Drosophila melanogaster: one gene and its partners. The protein of the gene in region 2 interacts with the protein of the main gene of each other region in a pairwise test. Each region holds a gene or a part of one and is shown on either strand. Other genes may lie near its edges. The genes, in order: BicC, AP-2mu, trem and Leash.

Region 1 (7,953 bases), on a different chromosome or scaffold from region 2:
CGTCAGCAGCTTCTTGCGAGCTCCAAACGCCGCGATACCCAGCTCCATCAGGTTTTCCTCGGTCAGGGTGGTGAACACCTCCAGGTCGATTTCGTTTAGAACGAATATTTCTGAAAGGAGAAATAAAAACTGTAGTTTTCCCAGGTTGTAAATATAAAATAGTTTGATTTTAAATGCTATATGGATGTTGAACTTTATGTAACTTTATCTATGACTGTGAAAAAACGTTTGCGTTAAATAAAACACTCTCCAGTTCAAGCCAGACATATATGATAGCTTTATAAAAGACTTCTAGTACACAGTTGGTAAAAACGGACATGATCGGCGGAGCTACTCACTGATGTAGTGCTCCAGACCCAAACTGGTGAGCAGAGTCTGGATGTCCTTGTGCTTGGCTAGCTGCATCCGTCGGTTGACTGGAGTGGCGTCCAGGAGTCCGGTGGTGGCACTCAGTCCGTAAGGGGAACCCAGTCCTGGTGGCAGCCGCCACCCACTAGATGCTCCTCCACCAGCAGCCCCATTTTCCCCGTTCTCCAGCGGGGCAGGGGCGGGCGAGGTGCTGCTCAAGCCCATTCCCATCCAAGCGGTCGTGGGTGTTCGCAGCTCCCCTGCCACCGGGGTGCGCTCCATGGCTTTGTAGCCCAGGGCCCGTTTCATGTCGAAGTCAAAGGCACGGTGGCCGGAGTGCTTGTTTCCTCCAAGGTCATAGTGCAAACTCCGATAGCTCTCGGCACTGCCGGGCAGGAGGTGGGCTCCTCCGGAGTTACCTCCTCCACCGTTGGAATTACTCAGCCCCAGCAGCACTCCATCGCTAAGGCGTCGTCCCAGACGCGCCCCACCACCACCTCCGCCGCCAACGCCACCACCCTCACTGCCGTAAGTGGAATCTGGCGAATAATGCGCCCGATTTTGGCTTCCCGCGGTGGAGGATGAAGTGGACGACACGGTGCCCGGCAATTGGGCATACGGCGGATACGACTGCTCCAGGGAGGTGGTGCTGCTGCTAAAGCTCTGGTAACCACTGGTATTCTGACTGCAGCTGTTCCGTGGCGAAACAGTCGGCGGTTTGAGAGGCGGCGCCACCGCTCCAGGAACCTGCAGATAGTTGCCATTGTTGCTCTGCCCACCAGCCACCATGGAACGATTCTGAGCCTGTTGGAAGCTGTTGTGCAACTGCATATATTTTTGGGTGGGCGCACACACCCCAGTGGGCGTGGCCAAGCCATTGGCGTTCAACAACAGGTGATTGTTGTTGGCATAGGGCGTCAGTTGGCCAGCCAAGGAGGGCGGCAGCAGCGATGGAGTCTTCGGGCTGTCCACATACCCAGCCAGCAGAGCAGTTAACTGGGTGCGGTAGGCGAGATTAAGGTCTTTGTCCTTTGGCATGAAGTAGTAGTCGGGGATCTCGGGCTTCACGAATGGCGTGGCCAGGCGCAGGATCTCCTGGCGGGCCTCGTAGATTTTGTCTAAGGAGGGTGACAACAACGGATTAATACGGAAATTTAATTCAGCACTTGCTAAATATCTTAAATTGTATAATATATCTAAAAAGTAAGGAAAATATGGGATAAAAATCAAACAATAATGGAAAGTGCAATCGTATATTAATGCAGAATCAACGAAAATCATACACTTTACACATTGCTTTAGAGATCTTACCTATAAACTTCTCCACTCCCTTGACCACAATGGCCAGGGTGCTCTGCCGCTGTTTCTGGCGCAACGTGATGTAGACGCCGTACTTGGTGTTGAGGCTCATTATTTCGGATGCATCGTTGTGGTTGTCCGGAAAGTCAAAAATCAATGCTACGGGCAAATTGCCAAGCAATTGTTGTCGCGCCAAGTAGACGTCGTCGATGCGTCCGCTGATCGTGACCTGGGACTTCTTCAGGGGCTTCACGTTCATGTCGCTCAGATCGGGGAATATGATCTTGGTCTGGGTTCGCTCCATAATGCTCAGCAGATTCACGTTGTTCTTGCCCTTGACGATTTCGTGATGCTGCGGCGAGATCTCCATCTGGACATTCACCAGGATTTGGCTCTAAAAAGGAAAAAGGATTCGCTGATGAGCCTTATTTTGAGTTATCCTTCTCGAACCTACCGCAATACTCTCACAGGCGAAGTTGATCAGCAGCTGCGTGGCATCTCGGACCTGCGCCGATTCCTTCTCGGATCCCTTGACCAAAACCAGCGAGGTATGCAATTTTGGACGCGTGGAGAATATGACCTGAAAGGAGGAAAAATCTTTAAAATATATTCAATAATAATTAAGAGCAACGAAAAAACTGTTTACAAAAATCCTTGGTTGTAATTTAAGGTTGCCAAATTCGAAAATAACGTTTAAGTAACTTTATTACTTTAAATGCGTTCTAAATCACTTAAAAATATATAATAATAACACAACTGCAAAATTAGCCTAATGTAACATCAGTTGATAAAATTATAATGGAGCAATATATAATCACAACTCTCAAGGGTTGGGAAAAAAAAATTTGACATTTTCTATACCCCCTCTTAAATGTATGTATGAATGTATATTACAAAATCTTACCTAAATTAGTTAAACTAATCAAGCCATTATAGTCAAATGCAAATAATATTTGGTAACATGCCATGATTAATTTATAATTAATTTATAATCTTACACTTAGTTGACTCCGACATCTGGAACTCACCTGAACATTGAACTTGGTCTCGATCATCTTGATGTAGGGAGTCTCGTGGTCGGGCTGCGGCTTGTTGGGTCCCATTACGGGCATCTCGAAGGAGATGAGCAGCGGTGTGGAGAGCCGAACGAGAGCCCGGGCTCGCTCCACGCCCTCTAGGCTGCCGCACAGCGACACCTGGTTGGATTTCTCCGTGGGATTGGAGCGATTCGAGTCGGGGAAGTGGATATGGGTATGCGTGTCGTCCATTATGCGCTTGATGTTGTTGCCACCTCGTCCGATGATGTACGAGTGATCCGTGTAGCTGACGTCCATTTTCATGATCACTCGAGTGCCCTGTTCGGAGAAAAATGGGTAACAATTAAAACAGATAAGTTTGTATTATGCTTTGGCTCACTCACCCTGGAGTCAAGACTGCTAAGGATGCGCTCCTTTGCCCGCTGAACCTGATCCACCTTTCCCACAATTCGCACATGGGGATCTTTAAATTATGGGATTTATTTGAAAAATACTCTTGAACATTGAAAATATTTCAATATCCTACCCTTCTTGCTCTTGGCACCAATTTTGAGTCTGCAAGGCCAGCTCACATAAGTATCCGTAGTGTTCATGATCTAGTAAAAGAATATGTTTTGGATATATGGCGAATTCTTTTATATCAAGTCAAAAGAGTCGGTCCTAACAGTATCTTAAAACAAATTGGGTTATACACTGAAATTTTATAGATGCAAAGTCAGATTGCCAAACAAAGACATGAATCAATTAACTTAAAAATTTTGCTCAAAAACTAAATAACTTAATATACTATTGAATAGGAAACATATTATTATATGTTCAATATTTATAAGGCATGGCATTCTGTGTCTCAAAATGAGACAAAAGAAAGTGTGAAGCTAATAGGTGCCCAAAACTTAAAAATATGTACTCACGTCATGGAAAAAATATTCAGCTCCATTCATTCCCTCAATGGAGCTCTCCGCTATCAGAAAAAAGGCAATGTATAATAAGGAATCTATTATTTTTATATATAAAGGCATTACCTTTTATTAACTGTTCCAATTTCTGTCGATCCACCTTGAAACGTTCCGTGTGGAGATCGTCTGGGTTTTGAACGCCCAACTTCATGGCGATGGCGCGTATGTCACTCCAATCGCTATCCACGGAGGAGATCTCGCTCTGCGTCTCGCTGGGGGCTCCACTGCCCACCGAGGTGGTCGATGGAAGGGCGTGAAGACTGGACAGGGATCCAATGGATCCAGCTTCCACCTCCAAGCCCACCATTGGCGGTTTGGCAACATCTGCGGCCGACGGATACATCAGTTTATTGAAAGAGGCACAGGACAACATTGTGGAATTCGGATGATGATGATGATCACTGGATCAGTGGATCGGTCAGTGGATCGAGAAATTCGTCAGAGGTCAACAGGTGTGGGTACCAAAAAGTCGTTTAGTTTTAAAAACCAAGCAAAACGTCCGTCTCAGTTAAGGATTCTGGAAGCCGGTCCGTTGTTTGGTCAGCTTTGTTAGATGATTGCTGCTACTTAATGAAGTAAAGTGTATCTGAATTGATGGGATGAGCTGGTGATGAAAAATGAAAGGTCCGAAATGATGTAACAAGAAAATTGATGTTCGTAATAAGAAGAGAGTGGTTAGAAAGCGAGTCATAGGTAATTTAAAGTGAATATTGAAACACCATATAAAAATTAATTATTTTTATTTTGATAGTCGGTACCATAATTTAAGCAATGCACTTTCCAAAAAAAAAAACGATTTTACCTTTAAATTTAGTTCTCTTTTAATTTTTTGCGGTAAATAGTATTTAACTATCAACTGGAATAAGTACTTTTCACTAACATTAAAAAACTTTCTGTCTTAATTTGAAAATCTGTCTTATAAATTTGTGAGAATAATGCCGCGAAAAGGTGAAATAAAAATTCACTAATTAATATTATTATGGATAACAACATTATTATTGGTTCGCCGCCTGTCGAAAATTCCAAACTTTCTTGTGTGTTCTTTCACATAACCTCTCAAAATGGAGTGCTGCTGCCATGAGGTTCGTACTTTCCCCTTTCTCTCGAGATCCCGAAAACCGTAATTTCACCCGTGTCTTCACTTTCACTTCCTTGTGCCCAAAAACCAATGGCGTAACTTACCGCTGGGAGATCGCTCGGTGATCTCTACTTGAGATTAAATAGGCCCTGGAGGTCCAGACAGATGGCGTGCGAGAGGTCCTGGACGAATTGGATGGCCTCGACGAGGCAGACGTTCATAACAAAATTACGTATTTGTTGAAATCTCTCGACGAAAGGCATTTAAGGTGTGATCTGCGCAATAGAGATCTATATATCAGTATATAGCTGTGTGATTGCGACGGTCTGAGGGGCTTTGTCAGAGTATTGGAAAAATGCAAGTTGGGAAAAATCTCTCTGATTTCTGGGGGACCAGCACTTCTTCTAAGTACGGCTTGAAGGCAACTGAACGCGGCTCTCGATTTCGTCGATCGATTTTGCCCGCTGCTCGACGGCATTTACTTCTAACTGTTGAGCGGATGAATTCCGCAAATCGCTGGCAGGAGAAAATCTGGCGAATATTGTTGTTGCTGGGTCAATGAACCGCTCCCGGAATAAGAGATTCGATTCCATATGTCGAGAGCGAAAAACAAAACAAAGTCGCAGGGAGAGGTGGTGTTCCAGAACTCCAACATAGCTACAACAATTTGCAGAGCAAACGCTTAACAGCGGTTAGAATGTTGCAATGTTAAGTTTGAAATGTTGCCAACCGTTTTCATTCATTTTGGCGCCAGAAAAAACGGTAGAGAAATACGGCACAAAGAGAAACCGACTTTATTCCCGCCAAAAACACGCCACTTACCGTAATGTCAGAAATTCGGATCGTAGCACATACACATAGATATCGCAGGTTAATTTACTTAAACACAATCAATTGTAAAATCTTTTCGACAAATAACACGCTCTTTTCACGTAAAAAAATTGTATATCCGCTTGCTAATTAATTTTGGGCGCAATTAATTTTCCGTCAATTGGTCAAATTAAGGTTCGAATGGGAATTCGGCTGGCAGTCGGTGTATTTTTTCAATGTAACCAAAAAAAATAACCACTATCGAAGTGCGAGTAACAGAAAAACACCACGTGTGTGAAAAACACAAAGGAAAATGCAATGGAGTCTCATGAAAAGCGAAACTGAATTGTTGTCAGAAAATCGTGCACTGCGCGTTAGTTAGTTATATTTGAATATTTTTTAATATTTTATAGCTCTTTTGAATTAATATATTATTAATGGGTTGTGCGCGCCGTGCAGTTGTCGTCATTAAAGCGCGCTGACTATCAAACTAAGCTCGGCATGTGGGTCCCAGTCCCAACTGACCTTCAGATCCAAAAGCTCTGTGTTCTGTGGGGAGTGAAGCCAGTGCACGAACAACCTTAAAAAGCTGCCAGCCAACTGGATAACGGATATTCAGCAATAGCTTTATAACGGGAAACGGAGCTTTTCAAGCTTCTGAAACTCCCCAACCTGCACTTTACCAAAGTATTTATATACAGTGGGTTTTAAAAGTACGCTCACCCTTGTACAACCGGAAATCAAACTTTAAATAAACCAAACTTAAATTACGTAATTAAATGATGACATGTACGAGTAAAAGACGTCAGCAATAGTTATTGAATAGGGGTTACTTTATTTCCTTGCTGCTATTTTACATCACTATTTTGTTTTCTTCAATCTTATTATTACATTTATTCTGGCTTTACACATTTCGGGTTATTTATTGGGGATATGAATATATTATGTGCTATGCATTTGACCGCGTTTTTGATTCTCTTTATAGATCTAAGACTTATCGTTTTTCCTAGCAGCTGGAAACATTCACTGTTTTTTTATCCTACTTTCATATTTCTTGGTTAATACTTTTAATATTTATTCAGTAACATCAAAATGTTTGTCCCATTTTTATGTACATAAAACTAGCTTTTTACATTCTTATACATATGGTTATAGTTTATTATATATATTGGCCATAATTGAAACCATACTGAAATTAAAATTAAAATCCCCTGTCAATGTTTTAATGTAATGGGCATAAATTAGGGAAGACAACTTTCACAACACGATTTGATTACAAAAATCTGGCGGCATGCAGTTTATTATTATATAATTATCTATTTGTATTACTTGTTTTTGCATGTACACCAATTAATTTATATTTCATAAGTTTTATTATTACGTTTTATCATTTTATTTACACTTTAAATATATGTACTGAATTTATAAATTATTCAACATTTATTTTTTATTATTGTTATTTTTTTTTAATATACATTTTCATTTGTTTTTGGGCTACGATTACCCATTGCATACATTGAATTGTGTTTAAGGTAAAGGAACTATTTACCGCTGGATTTTTGTTGGCCAAAAATGTTCAAATAATTCTTTTGCTTTCATCGAGTTTTAATATTGCCGAAACAAGACTTGAAAATAAAGATTCTTTTTCGTTTTAATTTGCTCTATGTATTCGTTGTTTTCTACAAATAAACGCTTGCTATAATAATTAATTTTGCTTTTCATTTCCACAACCGTAAAAAGTTCCTTTCTGTACAGTGGATGTTACAAAATATTAATTTTGTGCTTGGTTTTAAGCTTTTATTTACACATTGACATAATGTCTTCTTCATTCTGAAAGGAGAAAACAAACAAAATAAAGTTATAGTCGATTCTCTCGACTATAAGATACCCGTTACTCAGATGAATACCTTATAATGTTACAAACGATTCCACTAATCTAGAACACTCTTTTACTCTAAAAGTAACGGGTATTAGTATTGACTTAAATTATATTCGGTTGTTTACAATTTTGAAGCTGTCAAAACCCCACTTTAAAATGCACTACGGTACCCGAAAGCTAAGCTCAAGTGCAGTCTAAAGTTCAGCTTGCTGTACACTGTGCACAATTCCTATAACTTTTTGATTTTTTATTTGAATATATTTAACGCTTGATATATAACATAAGAGTTTGAAGTACATAGTATTTATTCTAAGTACATTTTGATTTTCAGTGACTGAGCACACGCATTTTCTCACCCTGTACGTGCCCAGTGCCCAGGCAACTGTGCATTTTTGGTTTGACTTTCCGCATCTCTTAATGTTCTCTTCACTGAGAGCCATTTGTCGTGGCTTATTGTGATCTTTTATTTTTTACAGTAAAGATCTGTTCGAAAGTATCGGGAATAAAAAGTGAAAATACCTTGCTGTAGCATTCATATATGCTTAT
Region 2 (4,520 bases):
TACATAATAAGCTAACGTACAATCTGCTAGAGCATTTCCATGAGTTTTATATCGTTTTTATTATTGTACGTTGCATTAGCTTTACACTGTAATAAATGTTGAATTTGAATAAATCTTTTTATATGAACTACATTAGATGTTTATCACGCGGCTCAACTTCTGGATGCGGTTGAGCAGCAGATCGCCCTGCTTGATGGTCGCCTGGTACTGCCAGTTCTTGTTGTCAGGCCGATTGGTCTCCACAATGCCGCCAACGCGATCCACCTTGGCATGCAGCCGTCCGGCGGCGATGAAGCGTGCCAGCTCCTGGTCAATGTATTCCACTGTTACGCCGAACGACTCGGCCATATACTGCAGGGTGAGGGAGCGATACGACTCCAGCAACTGGGTGTAGCCCAGAATGCGCATCTCGCGCACGTAGTAGCGGTAGTGGGGATGAATGAGGTAGTCCAAGCGCAATTGCTTCTCTACGCCGGCCAGGTGTACGTAGAAGTTCTCATATTGGCAGTTGTACAAGGAAAACAGGAACTGTTTCACGTCGGGCAGGCCATGGAGCACCTCCTGGATTTCGGAGCCCTTGATCACTTTGTCGCGCAGCTCATTGCGCGGCAGGGCAATCATGGCCACGTAAACGGTGTAACGCACGAAGGTGGGGTAGTCCATCAGTTCGTATGAGGTGAAGGTGCTTACGGTGTCCAGGAAGAACGTGGCCGCCGCCTTGAAGTCACGCACCGCCACCGAGTAAACACCCTGGTAGACCTTCAACCGGTTGCGTCGGTCCCAATCGCCGCCTTCCTCGATCAGATACTTGGCCTTGTCGATGTTGCGAGTGATGAGATCGTGGTCAAGGTAAAACAGTCCCAAGCGGATCAGATGGAACACGATGTCCAGGCGGTGACCCAGGGAAACGGTCTTCTCGTAGGTCTTGCGGAAGGCAGTCTCTGCGGCAGCCTTGTCGCCGATGCGGCACAAGTACTCTGACTTCTTAAGATTCGCCTCGCGCACTTCCATCTCGCCCAGATTCTTCTCCGCATCCTCGATTGCCGCATCTAGCTGCTCCACCTCTACGCGGTTGTTCTCCTTCATTCGCGCCAGCAGATCCTTGTCTACGGTCCAGCCGAGTTCCGAGCAGATGTGCTCGTACCACGGGGCCATATTCTCCGTGCGAATCGCCTCCAGAAGCTTCGCCTTCAATGCCGCATCCTGCTTGTATTCCGCCAGGGTAAGCAGGAACTTCGTCTGGGCCAGCTCCAGGTTCGGGTTCTTCTCCAGACCCTGCTCCTCCAAGTTTTCGGCAGGCATTTTGGTCGGATTTGTTGGCTTCGGTTTTTTAAACACAGAAAAATAGTTGATTTTCTTGACAAAACTCAATTTTGTTTTTGTCAAATCGCAGAGTCATGTACTACCAGTGTGACCCCAAAATTATCGATAAATTATACCGCATATTTTTACATTGCCAAAAATACCAGAGCGATGTCCATCAAGATAGCGACGAAATTAGAACAGTGCAATTGCCAATTGGGAATTTGTATTTTAATTTATTTTTAAATTCTGAAAGTAATTTAAATTTAAAAAAAAAACTTGAGAGCTGTCTAGAAAAGAACTGATGTTTCATGATAACTTTGTCGAAGAATTAAGAAATATTTAGTTGTAAAATAATTGTTGAATCTATTTTTTTCCAATAACACGACTTATATATTTTTTGAAAATATTCGAGCTAAATCCCAAGAAGTAAACTCAATCTGGGATTTGAAGTGCCCAGAACTCGAATAAACACTTCTTTTTAAATAATTGTAAGACCGTATCACTTATGGTATATACTGACCTCGAAGGGCCACACTAAGGGGGAGTGAAAATTGATTTTCTGATAAAAATTTTCGCTTGAAGCTACAGCATCGTCCACTGTCCATGTATATATCTTATATTTGCATATAAATATATATATTACACCGACTTGGACTAACCATCAGATAGCGCACAAGATGATTGGCGGCCTGTTCGTCTACAACCACAAGGGCGAGGTGCTGATCTCGCGAGTTTACCGCGACGACATCGGTCGGAATGCCGTGGACGCCTTTCGGGTCAACGTCATCCACGCCCGCCAGCAGGTCCGCTCGCCAGTGACCAATATTGCGAGGACCAGCTTCTTCCACATCAAGGTCGGTGAACAAAGTTCCTATGTCACAATCACCAACCCTCCCACTTATCATCAAAACTCCTTTCACAGAGAGCAAACATTTGGCTGGCGGCTGTGACCAAGCAGAATGTGAACGCCGCGATGGTGTTTGAGTTCCTTTTGAAGATCATCGAGGTGATGCAATCCTACTTCGGCAAGATCTCGGAGGAGAACATCAAGAATAACTTCGTGCTCATCTACGAGCTGCTGGATGAGATCCTCGACTTTGGCTACCCGCAGAACACGGACTCCGGCACCCTGAAGACCTTCATCACACAGCAGGGCATCAAGTCGGCCACCAAGGAGGAGCAGATGCAGATAACCTCGCAGGTTACCGGCCAGATTGGCTGGCGTCGCGAGGGCATCAAGTACCGGCGCAACGAGCTTTTCCTGGACGTATTGGAGTACGTGAACCTGCTGATGAGCCCGCAGGGTCAGGTTTTGTCTGCCCACGTGGCCGGCAAGGTGGTAATGAAGTCGTATTTGTCGGGTAAGTTAGCATAAATAATCTAGACATTATTCCTTTTAATAATCGCCATGTTGTAGGCATGCCCGAGTGCAAGTTCGGGATTAACGACAAGATCGTGATGGAGTCTAAGGGACGCGGTCTCTCCGGAAATTCAGAGGCGGAAACCTCACGCTCCGGCAAGCCCGTCGTGGTCATCGATGACTGCCAGTTCCATCAGTGCGTCAAGCTAAGCAAATTCGAGACGGAGCATTCGATCAGCTTCATCCCGCCGGACGGGGAGTTCGAGCTGATGCGTTACCGTACCACCAAAGACATTTCGCTGCCATTCCGAGTCATCCCGCTGGTGCGGGAGGTGGGCCGCACCAAGATGGAGGTTAAGGTTGTGCTGAAGTCCAACTTTAAGCCCTCACTGCTGGGCCAAAAGATCGAGGTGAAGATACCAACCCCGCTCAATACATCGGGCGTGCAGCTCATCTGCCTAAAGGGCAAAGCCAAATATAAGGCTTCGGAGAACGCGATCGTGTGGAAGATTAAGCGCATGGCGGGCATGAAGGAGACACAGCTGTCCGCGGAAATCGAACTTTTGGAGACGGACACCAAGAAGAAGTGGACTCGGCCGCCCATCTCCATGAACTTTGAGGTGCCATTCGCGCCGTCCGGCTTCAAGGTACGCTACCTGAAGGTGTTCGAGCCCAAGCTCAACTACTCCGACCACGATGTGGTCAAATGGGTGCGCTACATCGGACGCAGTGGCTTGTATGAGACGCGCTGCTAGGGCGCCCAAGCATCCCCATCACGGAGCAAGATTATCACAATTGAATTTAACGAGATGAATGGAGAAAGTGTTACCGCATCTATTGGTATTTCCTCAATCAAATTGAACCAGCAGCTTATGTATTCCAAGATTAGTTCCAGCAAGTCCGGAGGACGCCCGAGTAGCGGATCCACCCCGGACACCCTATGCCGTATACCGCACACACTGCCTCCGCGAGCACTGGTTATGCGGGCGGGGCGTGTTCCCCATAGACATACCACTACTAGGTACTATGATTTACCCTACTATGTAAATGTAAACTATGTTGTTTTTATATGCGTCGCGGGACGTCTCACAAATCTCACGCTCACGTTTCACAACTCTAATTATTATTTGTATTATCGTATTATAAATATATATATATATGTATATTTAATCATTATTTTCATTGTGCAAAGAACAAAGGCGATAAATGCAACTAAGCGTATTTAATAGACCAAAACTCTGTCAGCGCTATCAATATTGATATTCAAGTGTTAATAATATTCGAATTGTTTAATAAATAAATTAGCATGATATATACTAAAAATGATGTGTTTCTCATTGGTGAAAGGGTATCGTTATATGGCTTTTCCCTATATCGAACTGATATGCCCAACAATAGAACGGAAAGGTACGATTACAACCTCATAAATGGGTGATATACAACTTTATGATCAGCCCACAAGTGCTGTCTTCGCTATCACGTGTGCACATTGGTTCAAGATCAGCTAAATCCTGAAATTAACGTCACAATTATTGATGATGTTCAACGAAGTGAAAACTAGTTTCTAGCCATGAATCATCGCACCAATGGAAGTGATCTTTGCGTTTTGGGAAAGCAAAAAAGGGCCTAAAAATGCCAGTTGGCATAAAAGCTTGCTTATCGTGGAAGGGGCTTTTCACAATTTTCCATCGGCGCTAGAAATCAACATTGTCCAATCAGTTCACCCACTGCGATAAAGTTTATTCCGCTGTGTCCATTAAACTATTATTTCTAGGTGTTAGCTGTTGCCAGCGCTGGATAGCCTTGACTGGTTTCGCCATCCAGATACTAATTAATTGGACTGGAAATTTTAATA
Region 3 (3,911 bases), 2.4 Mb from region 2:
GGCTGTCATAACTAGAATAAAAGAGATATATTTCTGTTAATCAGCTTTAATGTCAATTAATTGTTAACAAGTCTTGATAAAAGTTACTTCAAATCTAAATCTTAAGACATCCACGGAAGTTTCTAACGTTAAATACACTTTAGGATCCACACCAACGAACGACCGTACAAATGCGAGTTCTGCAGCAGGTCCTTTGGCTACTCCAACGTCCTCCGGGTTCATCTGAAAACCCATACCGGTGAACGACCATTTAGCTGCCAGTACTGCCAGAAGTCCTTCTCCCAGCTGCACCACAAAAACAGCCACGAAAAGTCACACAAAAGGACGAAAGAGGTGAAATGATTGCAGTGACTAAGAGGAAACATTGAGGTGCAAATTAAATAAGTTTCTCGTTGAAAATTGTACAATATATTAATGGATAAGTTCTAAGCCATAGGGCACCGCCATTAAAATTTGTCATTTTTCCTTATTTAATTTTTTATAAGAAGTAAAAAACAAATTGTACAAAAAAATATATCCTGTGTACATTTATTTGCTTAATGGAAGAACTTAAACAACGGCTTACTAAATACTTAGACTAAACTTTGCATAAGAACTAAAAAGAACATGTCACTCTTTGGGGAGTTCATTGAGAAACTCCGGCGTTTCCCCCTTGACATCTTCTGCTTTGGTGCTCTCTTCTGCGTCATTTCTCCAGGTGATACGTCTATTATGCGTTTCCCGATGCAAACGCAATTTGTAGGCCTTCACAAATCCTTTGCCACAAAGATCACAGCTGAAAGAGAATAGCTATTATTGCAGGATAATGAAGTAGTAAAATATGTTGATGCTTACACATGCGGCTTCTCCCCCGTGTGAATCATCTTGTGGAACTTCAGGTTGTCCGAGTAGGTAAACGTTCTGGAGCAAACGTCGCACACGTAGGGACGCTCCTTAGTGTGAATTCTGGAGAGAAATAATGTCAGTTTAATTTACTTTCAACTGTTTCGAATATTTCTCACCTATGATGTTTGGTTTTCGTGGATCGATCGGCGAAGGCAGCTGGACAGTAGTTGCACTTGTATGGTCGGTTCCCCGTGTGAGTGTTCATGTGCCGTACCAGCTGTTGATTCTGCACAAAGCCTCTTCCGCAGATCCTATAATAACATCCTATTAGCCATAGTTACTATTTACTTTCAACTTTTAAACCTACTCGCACTCGTGTGGTTTAACACCAGAATGGAATTTCATGTGCTCGGTGAGACGCGCCTGAGTCGGATAGATATTTCCGCACACATCGCAGATGTATGTGCTCAGCTTGTTGCGCGGCTTTCTGCCCACCTTCTTTTTGAAGGTTTCCACTTTTGGGCTATTCTTGTGGTATGCAACTGGCTTCCTGCCCGATCGGTCGCATTTTTCCGGCTTAGCATGAGTTGGGTCATAATCTTCGTCAGAGTCGAGTATGTCTTCAGCAATTTCTTCTTCGGGCGGCTCCTCTGTGGCAACATCTGTGCCGGTGGAGCCTTTTTCCTGTGCGATTTCCGGCGAGTTTTCGTTGGTGAGCAGTTCGTATTCCTCGTATTCAGCATAGGTTTCAGCCTCCTCGATCTCATTTGGCACCGGCTGCGTGGGATCGTGCACATCGAACATATTGGTATCATCAGTATCACCATCCTCCACGACATAGGTGATAACCTGATGTTGCTGATCCTCCTCGCCCTCCACTTTCATGCCGCCATCCAGCTGACTGGCGTAGTCCTCCCACGACTTCAGTACGCTCTCCACCGAAAGGTCCTCCGCGATGCTAAGCAAATCCCCTTCGCCGGCGGCGTTAGCATTGCTGGCCTCCCGGTCCAGCATGTCCATAATGTGCTGATGGGATCGCTGGCATGTCAGACGGAACTTGTAGCAGAGCCGCAGGCAGCGCACGCACTTGCTGCACATCTTGTCCGGGAAGTTGTCATCTAGGCTGACCTGTTTGGGTTGGAATAATTTAAAATGGGCAAACCAAGCAGGATTCACACTTACTGGAATGCCTGCGCAAATGTGCAGCATTTGGTCCAGTCGCGTGCTTGCCGTTTCGCTGAATATGTCGTGGAGCAGCTCCTCGCCCTCGCTGGGATTGTTCAGGCAAACGCGGCACACCACCCACTTCTCGTTGGACTCAGTTTTCATGGCTAATTCGATAAAACAATCACTTCGGTTGTTGCAGAAGATTCAAACAGCTGAATTTAAGCGTCCACGGCCACTGGCCATTCACAGCGAAACGCGCCCGCCAAAGTTGATACGGTGAATGCACGTTATGAACGACTACATGGAGCGTACAGGGTACATAGCTGTATGTGCACTTTTTACCAAACAAATGTTTTAAATAATTTTTTTTTGGTAGAAAATAATATAAAAATGCGCGTCATTTTATTAATTTTATTTTCAATTTACAAATATTGAAGGAAAATGGTTTTAAGTTCGTTTATATAATAAAAAGGAAAAGCACTATTCTATCAAAGTAGTTTTGTTTCAGTACAGTAATGACCACACTGTCTTATGGAACGATGGAACTTTACATGAGCTTGACATATAATATTGTATTAAACTGCTTAATCAAGCTTTTATATATTTAAATTGTAAAACACTTGAATTCCAATTTTACTGATTTATTTAACTGCCCACAAAATGCATTCGTATTCTTAATTATATATTTAATATTTGAAGTAGCGAATGGAATACCCTTAGCGTCGACTGTGGTCACCCTGTGTGGCGACATTCGCATTGCAACGCGTGCACTTCGCTCCAGACTACAATCTATTTTTTTGGCGTCGTCTTCGTCCAGCGAGCGTGTTATTATAAATATTATAGCGGAGGGTAAGTAGCCTCCTGGAAGAGATCCATCTCCTATTCGCGACAATGAGAGACTCGGCAGCACATGCGAGTCCGGCGGCAGCGGCAACGAGCACGCAGAAGTGGATCGTTTGCCGGGTTTGCCTGCAGCAGCCCAAGGAGCCCATGGCCAGCATTTTCAACGACGATTCGGAAAAGGATCTGACCCACATGATTCGCGAGTGCGGCGGAGTGCCCGTAAGTTTGTCCCATTGGACCCCGAACCATATAACAATGCAATTTCCTTGGCAGATCAAACAGTTCGATCACTATCCGGACAAGATATGCGAGAAGTGCTTCAAGGTGCTGAAAATGGCATTTAAGTTTCGAGAGACCTGCCAAAGATCGTACGGCCATCTGCGCCAGTTCGTTGGACCCGTAGAGGTGGAGCAGCGACCACCGGAGAAAAAGGGCTCAGAGACAGCCACCAAGCTGGAGCCGGATGTCGATCCCGATGAGGCGGAGCAGGAGCCAGAGCATGACGAGGAAGACGAGGATGTGGACCTGGACGAGAGCCACTATGCCGAGGCGGACGATGCCGCCGAAACGCAGGGTGGTGTCTTCCATGACGAGATTGAGGATGGTATCCTCGTTGAGCTGGAAAAGGATCGGATTGTGCACGTGAAGAACGAGCAGGTGGAGGAGGACGGCATAATCGAGGAGGTTTATGACGTGTATGAGACGTACGAGGGCGACCTCATCCCAGATCAGGGCTATGACCACGAGATGGCCGATCAAGCCCTGTCCGAGTTATCTGCCGAAATCGAATACCTGGACCAGGTCGAGCATGATCAGTTGACCGAAAGTGCCCACGAGGATGATGCGGAAGTCGATCTGAACTCAACCGAAGAGGAGTTCGTTCCCTCAAAAAGCGTTCGCGCGTCCATCCATGCGCGGAATGCCACCAAGCGGAGAGTGAATCCCCGCAGGTCAGCTACATCGACGGCCTCGGTGGCTGTAGAATCGAGTACCTCCAAGACAACTGACCGCGGCAATCCACTTAAGGTACGGCGGGGTAACAGTGATTCGGCTGGCAGCAAAATGAGCATCAAATC
Region 4 (4,890 bases), about 12 Mb from region 2:
ATGACCTTCATCACCTCTGTATCAAACAATTGTGGCGTGCTTGATAGTCTTATCGCCCATAAAAGTAGTCGAGTATGGTCAACTGAAATAATTTTGGTTTTACTGCCAAGATTATATGTTATTGACCCTAAATCAAAATATAAAAACAGATCCTATATTAAATAGATAAACCGAATTTTTTTATCATATCATATTAAATTTAACCATGTATCAATTCAATTTTTTGTCTTGCAGCTCAAGGAGAGGTTGAAGAACTAGAGCTTAGACATGTTTACGAAAATCTTTCGCGCTGTGATAATCGGAGCCCCCGGCTCGGGCAAAGGAACTATTTCGGAATTGATCTGCAAGAACCATGGATGTGTGCACATCTCCACGGGGGACATTCTGCGCCAGAACATCATAAAAAACACAGAACTTGGAAAAAAGGCCAAGCAGTACATTGCTGAAGGTAAACTGGTGCCCGACGCGATTGTGACCAAGACGATGCTGGCCCGGATAACCGAGGTAGGCAACAGGTCGTACATCCTAGACGGATTCCCGCGCAATATAGCCCAGGCCGAGGCACTGGCTGCACGCGAGCAAATCGATGCCGTGATCACGCTGGACGTTCCACATAGTGTGATTATCGACCGGGTCAAGAATCGCTGGATCCATGCGCCCTCCGGCAGGGTGTACAATATTGGCTTCAAGAATCCCAAAGTGCCTGGCAAAGATGATGTGACGGGGGAGCCGCTGATGCAACGCGAAGATGATAAACCCCATGTGGTGGCCAAGCGACTGGAGCTCTACGATGAGGTGATGAGCCCGGTAATAGCCTGGTACGAAAAGAAGGGTCTGGTTGCCACTTTCAAGGGAAAACAGACAAAGGAGATCTGGCCGATGATGGAGCTTTTCCTCAACGACCGCATAAATGCGTAATGGAGCAACCCCGAAATTACATCCAATGTGCACAAACTAACGATAAACTGCTGTGTTCAATTAAGTGCATAATATATTTAGATATATATAAATGAATACGTATGAAATATGTATGTTTGTGGGCCGGTTAAGAGGAACAGGCGTATAATTAATGTAATTGCGAAGCCTTACACAGTAGCAGCTGTCATGTATTCCTTCTTCCACAGATATCATTCCCCTCATGAGCATGTCTTGCAGCTCCCCCCTTTTTTGTATAAACATATTTTTGTACTCGTATTCTGTGCTCTGATAATAAATCGCGTTTTTTATATATATAAATATATATATATATGCGCTGATAACAGCCGACTTTGACTTTTGGGCAGTTAACGGACAGCCGTCGATCTATTTTTAGGCAATGTCCACAAACCCTTGGCCCCATGCGTGAAGCCAACACTTTTAGCTTCACCTCATGACACCCAAATGCCCTTCATTTTATCGCGTAGCGCATTAATTTCTAAAAAATATGGGATAGTGTGGCGCTCCCGTTTAGTCTCGCGCTCTCTTACTCACACATGCACGGACCAGCTGCTGTTCTCACGCACACCTGTATAGTGGCAAATCACAACAGAGAGGCGCTTGTACAGTCAAGGGCGCCCAATTATGTCAGATTTAAAATTCTTTAAGTCATTTATAAAAAATTCAATAAACCACTTATTGTTTTAAAGGTATACTTCATAATAAAATGGAGATAGCTGTTTGCCTTTTAAACACTATACTTCGGAATATACCATTACTGGGAATCTTATTTCTGGATAATTAAAAAAAAAAACCTATATAAACCCCTTTGTGGCCACCACTGTGCTGCGAGCGCCCTCTCACCTCTCTCTCATTTAGACCCGACTTGCGCTTGGCCCAATATTACGGCTTTTTCGGCACGCCAACTGAGTGTGCCTCTCTTCGCACATGCCCCCACCGTCTACACTCCCCTCTCGCGCGATGCGTTTGGGTTGGCATTTCCTGAAACAAATGCCAGTACTCAAGAATCGTGAAGAACGAAAAGAAATTCAATTGCAATTGCAACGGGCGGCAATTGAAAGCTTATCGATGAATGAAAGGCGAGCGCCGAAGGCAATTAGAGGAATTTGCGAGCAAGAATCTCGAAATTGCGGTGAAGCGGAGGGGGAGGAAGCCCCATAAAATGGCCGCTGTGCTTTGTTAACTGATGGAGTTCTTTGTTTATGCGAATGGGGCCGCAACGAAAGTCCAGCTGACCATCGGGCGGACAATGGATTGCAAACCGCTGACAAAACAGAAAAAAGCACATTTCTATTTGTGGAGTACATGATGGGTTGTGCAGAAAACCATCTTTGTTAATATTAGATTACTATATCTAAGCTAAATCTTTTCGGTAATACGATCTATATGTACACATGTAAACAATACCCAGAATCATAAACTAAGAGCCTAACGTTAAATGTAGGGTTTTGAAACACTTTCTCTGCGTGTCTACAGCTGAGTCATGGATGATGCAAGCCGAGCTTTGAGATGTGCATTCCAGGAAGCGGCAAGTTATGCTCGACTGGCACTTACCGCGTATTTTGGTGCGCTTGTTGACGTTCATCCAGATCTCGCCGCGAATTATGTCGCCCGCAAAGTAAACCCGATCCGCGCTGTCCAGCGTGATTCGCAGCCGCTCGCTTTCCATTCCGCTGGCGTTGATGGTGATGACTCCTCCGGTTTGGCCACTTTCCTCACGCACTTATCCAAAAATAATTTCGTCATCAAAATGCCGCCACATACAAACGTACATGGATGCACTGCAGCACCACGGCCCGCACCACCCTAAAGTATATGCAGAATAGTAGCACCACCACACGCACTCGCCTCACGATTTACGATTTGATGTTACTACACACACCGCGCGGTGAGTGGGAGCTTTTTCGCGCTGATTGTGGCCAGTTCTTGGGGAATCTCGATATCCATCAATTCGCAATGGCCCACAAGTGTTGGTCGCACACCCCGGGCTAATTTAATTCGATTGCTGTCGTCCGCTGGCGGGTTGAATAATTAAATTTCTTATAAATTTACGAGATCCGTGAGTTACGCTTTTTTGTTGTAGCTGCAGCTCTCTTTCGATAACCGTGAGAGCGGCGGTCCGATAGCACGAACAGCTGTTGCGCGGTGCTGCCACCGGGCGCCTGGCCAGCTGAAGCGGTTAATTCGCAGACTTTTTAATCGGTATTTTCAAATGTGTCTAATTTAAAGTTTAAGTTCTAAACAGCGTTTCTTAAATGCACTGTTTTCAGTTGTAATGCAAGAGTTCAGAAATGCTTGGTAGTAATGGTCTTTTTTTATGGTTTGATGTTTGAAAAGAGAAGAAGAAACTCTCTGTTTGAATATCGCCAATAATTTAAGTTGATATATTTCACTACGAATAATAATTACCAAATATTTTACTGTATAGATAACAAAACGCTCAGCTTAGATGTCAGCGATGATTGAAGCATACATACATATTTTATTAAGATTAAACTTTAGTTGGCTTAGCAGCATAATGCTCCATATAGTATTTCGTGTGCTTCCCCGTTCTGTCCTTCGCTTCTTCTTCTTGTAACCTCTCGCGCACAAAAGTTTGCTTCTCGGTTCTTCGGTCTCACCAAAGACTTTTGAGAATTCAGTATTAAGCCAGAGCTGCTCGCGTTCGGAGCTTGCGAGCTGAGTCGCCGGAACCCTCGAATACATCGAATCCCTACCTCTTCCACCAACTATCAATAAAACAAACAAAGGAACTTGATAGCGCGATACCACCCGACACCGTCGCCAAGGAGCCAATTCTGGACAGGATGAGCAGCAAGGTGAACTTCGTCTTCGACAGCAATCCTTTGGGGCTCTATCAAGCCGGTCAGCTTATCTCCGGCACGGCGGAACTGATTACGGAGCGCCCCAAGACGATTCGATGTAAGTGACACCGACATGCGGAAGAAGACGCACTACATACATATGTATTCTAATGGACTCGAAACCATGACGTCATCCCCCTCCATCACCATTCAAATTCTGAATCCCATACCGTTTTACCATCCACTAATAAATAAATATCCACTTAATATTGTTGGTGCTTTGTTATCCGCTGGTTTAATGTTATTGTTGCCGGTAGATATGCTTGAAAGATGTGTATTGTATATACAAATGTACATATATGTATGTATACATAAAGTTTATATACAACACACATGTGGCCGCTTGGCTGGCTGGCGGATATCTGATAGCGGCGTAAAAACTAGTTTTGTTTTGAAATTGCGTACGCTGTTTGTATTATTAGATATTTGATTCAGTTACTGGTCAGCCCGTTCGTGCCAATACCTTTAAATTGTAGTGTATAGGTAGCATTTTGGGTCAATTAGGCGTAATTCATGCAGATATACATATATATATAAATTTATACAAATCCCATTAGCAAGCTAAGTGGACCCTAGCCATCGGTTCAAATTCAAATAATCAAATATTTCCTAGGGTATCAAATAGTCGAGCCTTAGCAGCGCTTTAATTTGATGGTGAACTTTATTAGGTAGCATTCGTTTTTTTTATGCTTCTGATTAAATTATTGTTAGTTCATTAACAAAGACAGTTGTTTGTAGCTGAGCAATTTTCCAATACAATTCTACATCCGAAACACACAAAAGGTCCAAGGTCAATGGCAATTAAACTAAATGCATAATTGAATTACATACCCGGCAGTACAGACAAATTAATCCAATTGCAGCGATCTTTATAACCATAAATGGATACGGCGAGACGCGTTGGCAGGAAAGCGAGGAGCGAGTGGGAGAGGATGGGAAGACGACCAAGTCCCTGGTGACCCACACCACCACCGAGGTCTACTACAGCACTGACCAGCCGGTTTACGGCCAGGCCGGTGGCTCGCAGCTGGAGTTGCCCACCGGCAAGTACGTCTTTCCCTTCCGGGCTACCATTCCGCCCAATGCACCC

What was found.
Region 1: the proteins of AP-2mu (region 2) and BicC interact in a two-hybrid assay, tested with the Drosophila melanogaster proteins (one large-scale study listed by BioGRID).
Region 3: the proteins of AP-2mu (region 2) and trem interact in a two-hybrid assay, tested with the Drosophila melanogaster proteins (one large-scale study listed by BioGRID).
Region 4: the proteins of AP-2mu (region 2) and Leash interact in a two-hybrid assay, tested with the Drosophila melanogaster proteins (one large-scale study listed by BioGRID).

Annotation. Positions count from the first base shown.
Region 1 is NT_033779.5:16,040,115-16,048,067, reverse strand, and holds the start of BicC (bicaudal C), read right to left. Parts: upstream 6,022-7,953; 5' UTR 5,541-6,021; intron 5,152-5,540; exon of another isoform or gene 4,994-5,151; 5' UTR 4,982-4,993; coding exon of another isoform or gene 4,847-4,981; 5' UTR 4,823-4,846; intron 4,245-4,822; 5' UTR 4,014-4,244; coding exon 3,707-4,013; intron 3,646-3,706; coding exon 3,596-3,645; intron 3,517-3,595; exon of another isoform or gene 3,281-3,516; coding exon 3,211-3,280; intron 3,148-3,210; coding exon 3,068-3,147; intron 3,003-3,067; coding exon 2,676-3,002; intron 2,228-2,675; coding exon 2,102-2,227; intron 2,042-2,101; coding exon 1,660-2,041; intron 1,467-1,659; coding exon 339-1,466; intron 111-338; coding exon 1-110. Other genes in the region: CG45084 (uncharacterized protein), read right to left, coding at 4,847-4,981. UniProt on the Drosophila melanogaster protein: RNA-binding protein that is involved in oogenesis. Required for correct targeting of the migrating anterior follicle cells and the establishment of anterior-posterior polarity in the oocyte. May act as translational repressor of oskar during oogenesis.
Region 2 is NT_033777.3:22,460,621-22,465,140, forward strand, and holds AP-2mu (adaptor protein complex 2, mu subunit), read left to right. Parts: upstream 1-1,834; 5' UTR 1,835-1,910; exon of another isoform or gene 1,911-1,970; 5' UTR 1,971-1,982; coding exon 1,983-2,159; intron 2,160-2,227; coding exon 2,228-2,666; intron 2,667-2,722; coding exon 2,723-3,420; 3' UTR 3,421-3,983; downstream 3,984-4,520. Other genes in the region: Rpn7 (regulatory particle non-ATPase 7), read right to left, coding at 133-1,302.
Region 3 is NT_033777.3:20,029,057-20,032,967, forward strand, and holds trem (trade embargo), read right to left. Parts: upstream 2,254-3,911; 5' UTR 2,155-2,253; coding exon 2,008-2,154; intron 1,954-2,007; coding exon 1,193-1,953; intron 1,137-1,192; coding exon 1,002-1,136; intron 946-1,001; coding exon 835-945; intron 776-834; coding exon 610-775; 3' UTR 504-609; downstream 1-503. Other genes in the region: CG4854 (uncharacterized protein), read left to right, coding at 144-342; idc (identity crisis), read left to right, coding at 2,884-3,054, 3,109-3,911.
Region 4 is NT_033777.3:10,883,688-10,888,577, reverse strand, and holds the start of Leash (leash), read right to left. Parts: upstream 3,039-4,890; 5' UTR 2,606-3,038; coding exon 2,491-2,605; intron 1,234-2,490; exon of another isoform or gene 919-1,233; coding exon of another isoform or gene 268-918; exon of another isoform or gene 235-267; intron 1-234. Other genes in the region: Ak3 (adenylate kinase 3), read left to right, coding at 268-918; CG14696 (uncharacterized protein), read left to right, coding at 3,744-3,858, 4,664-4,890.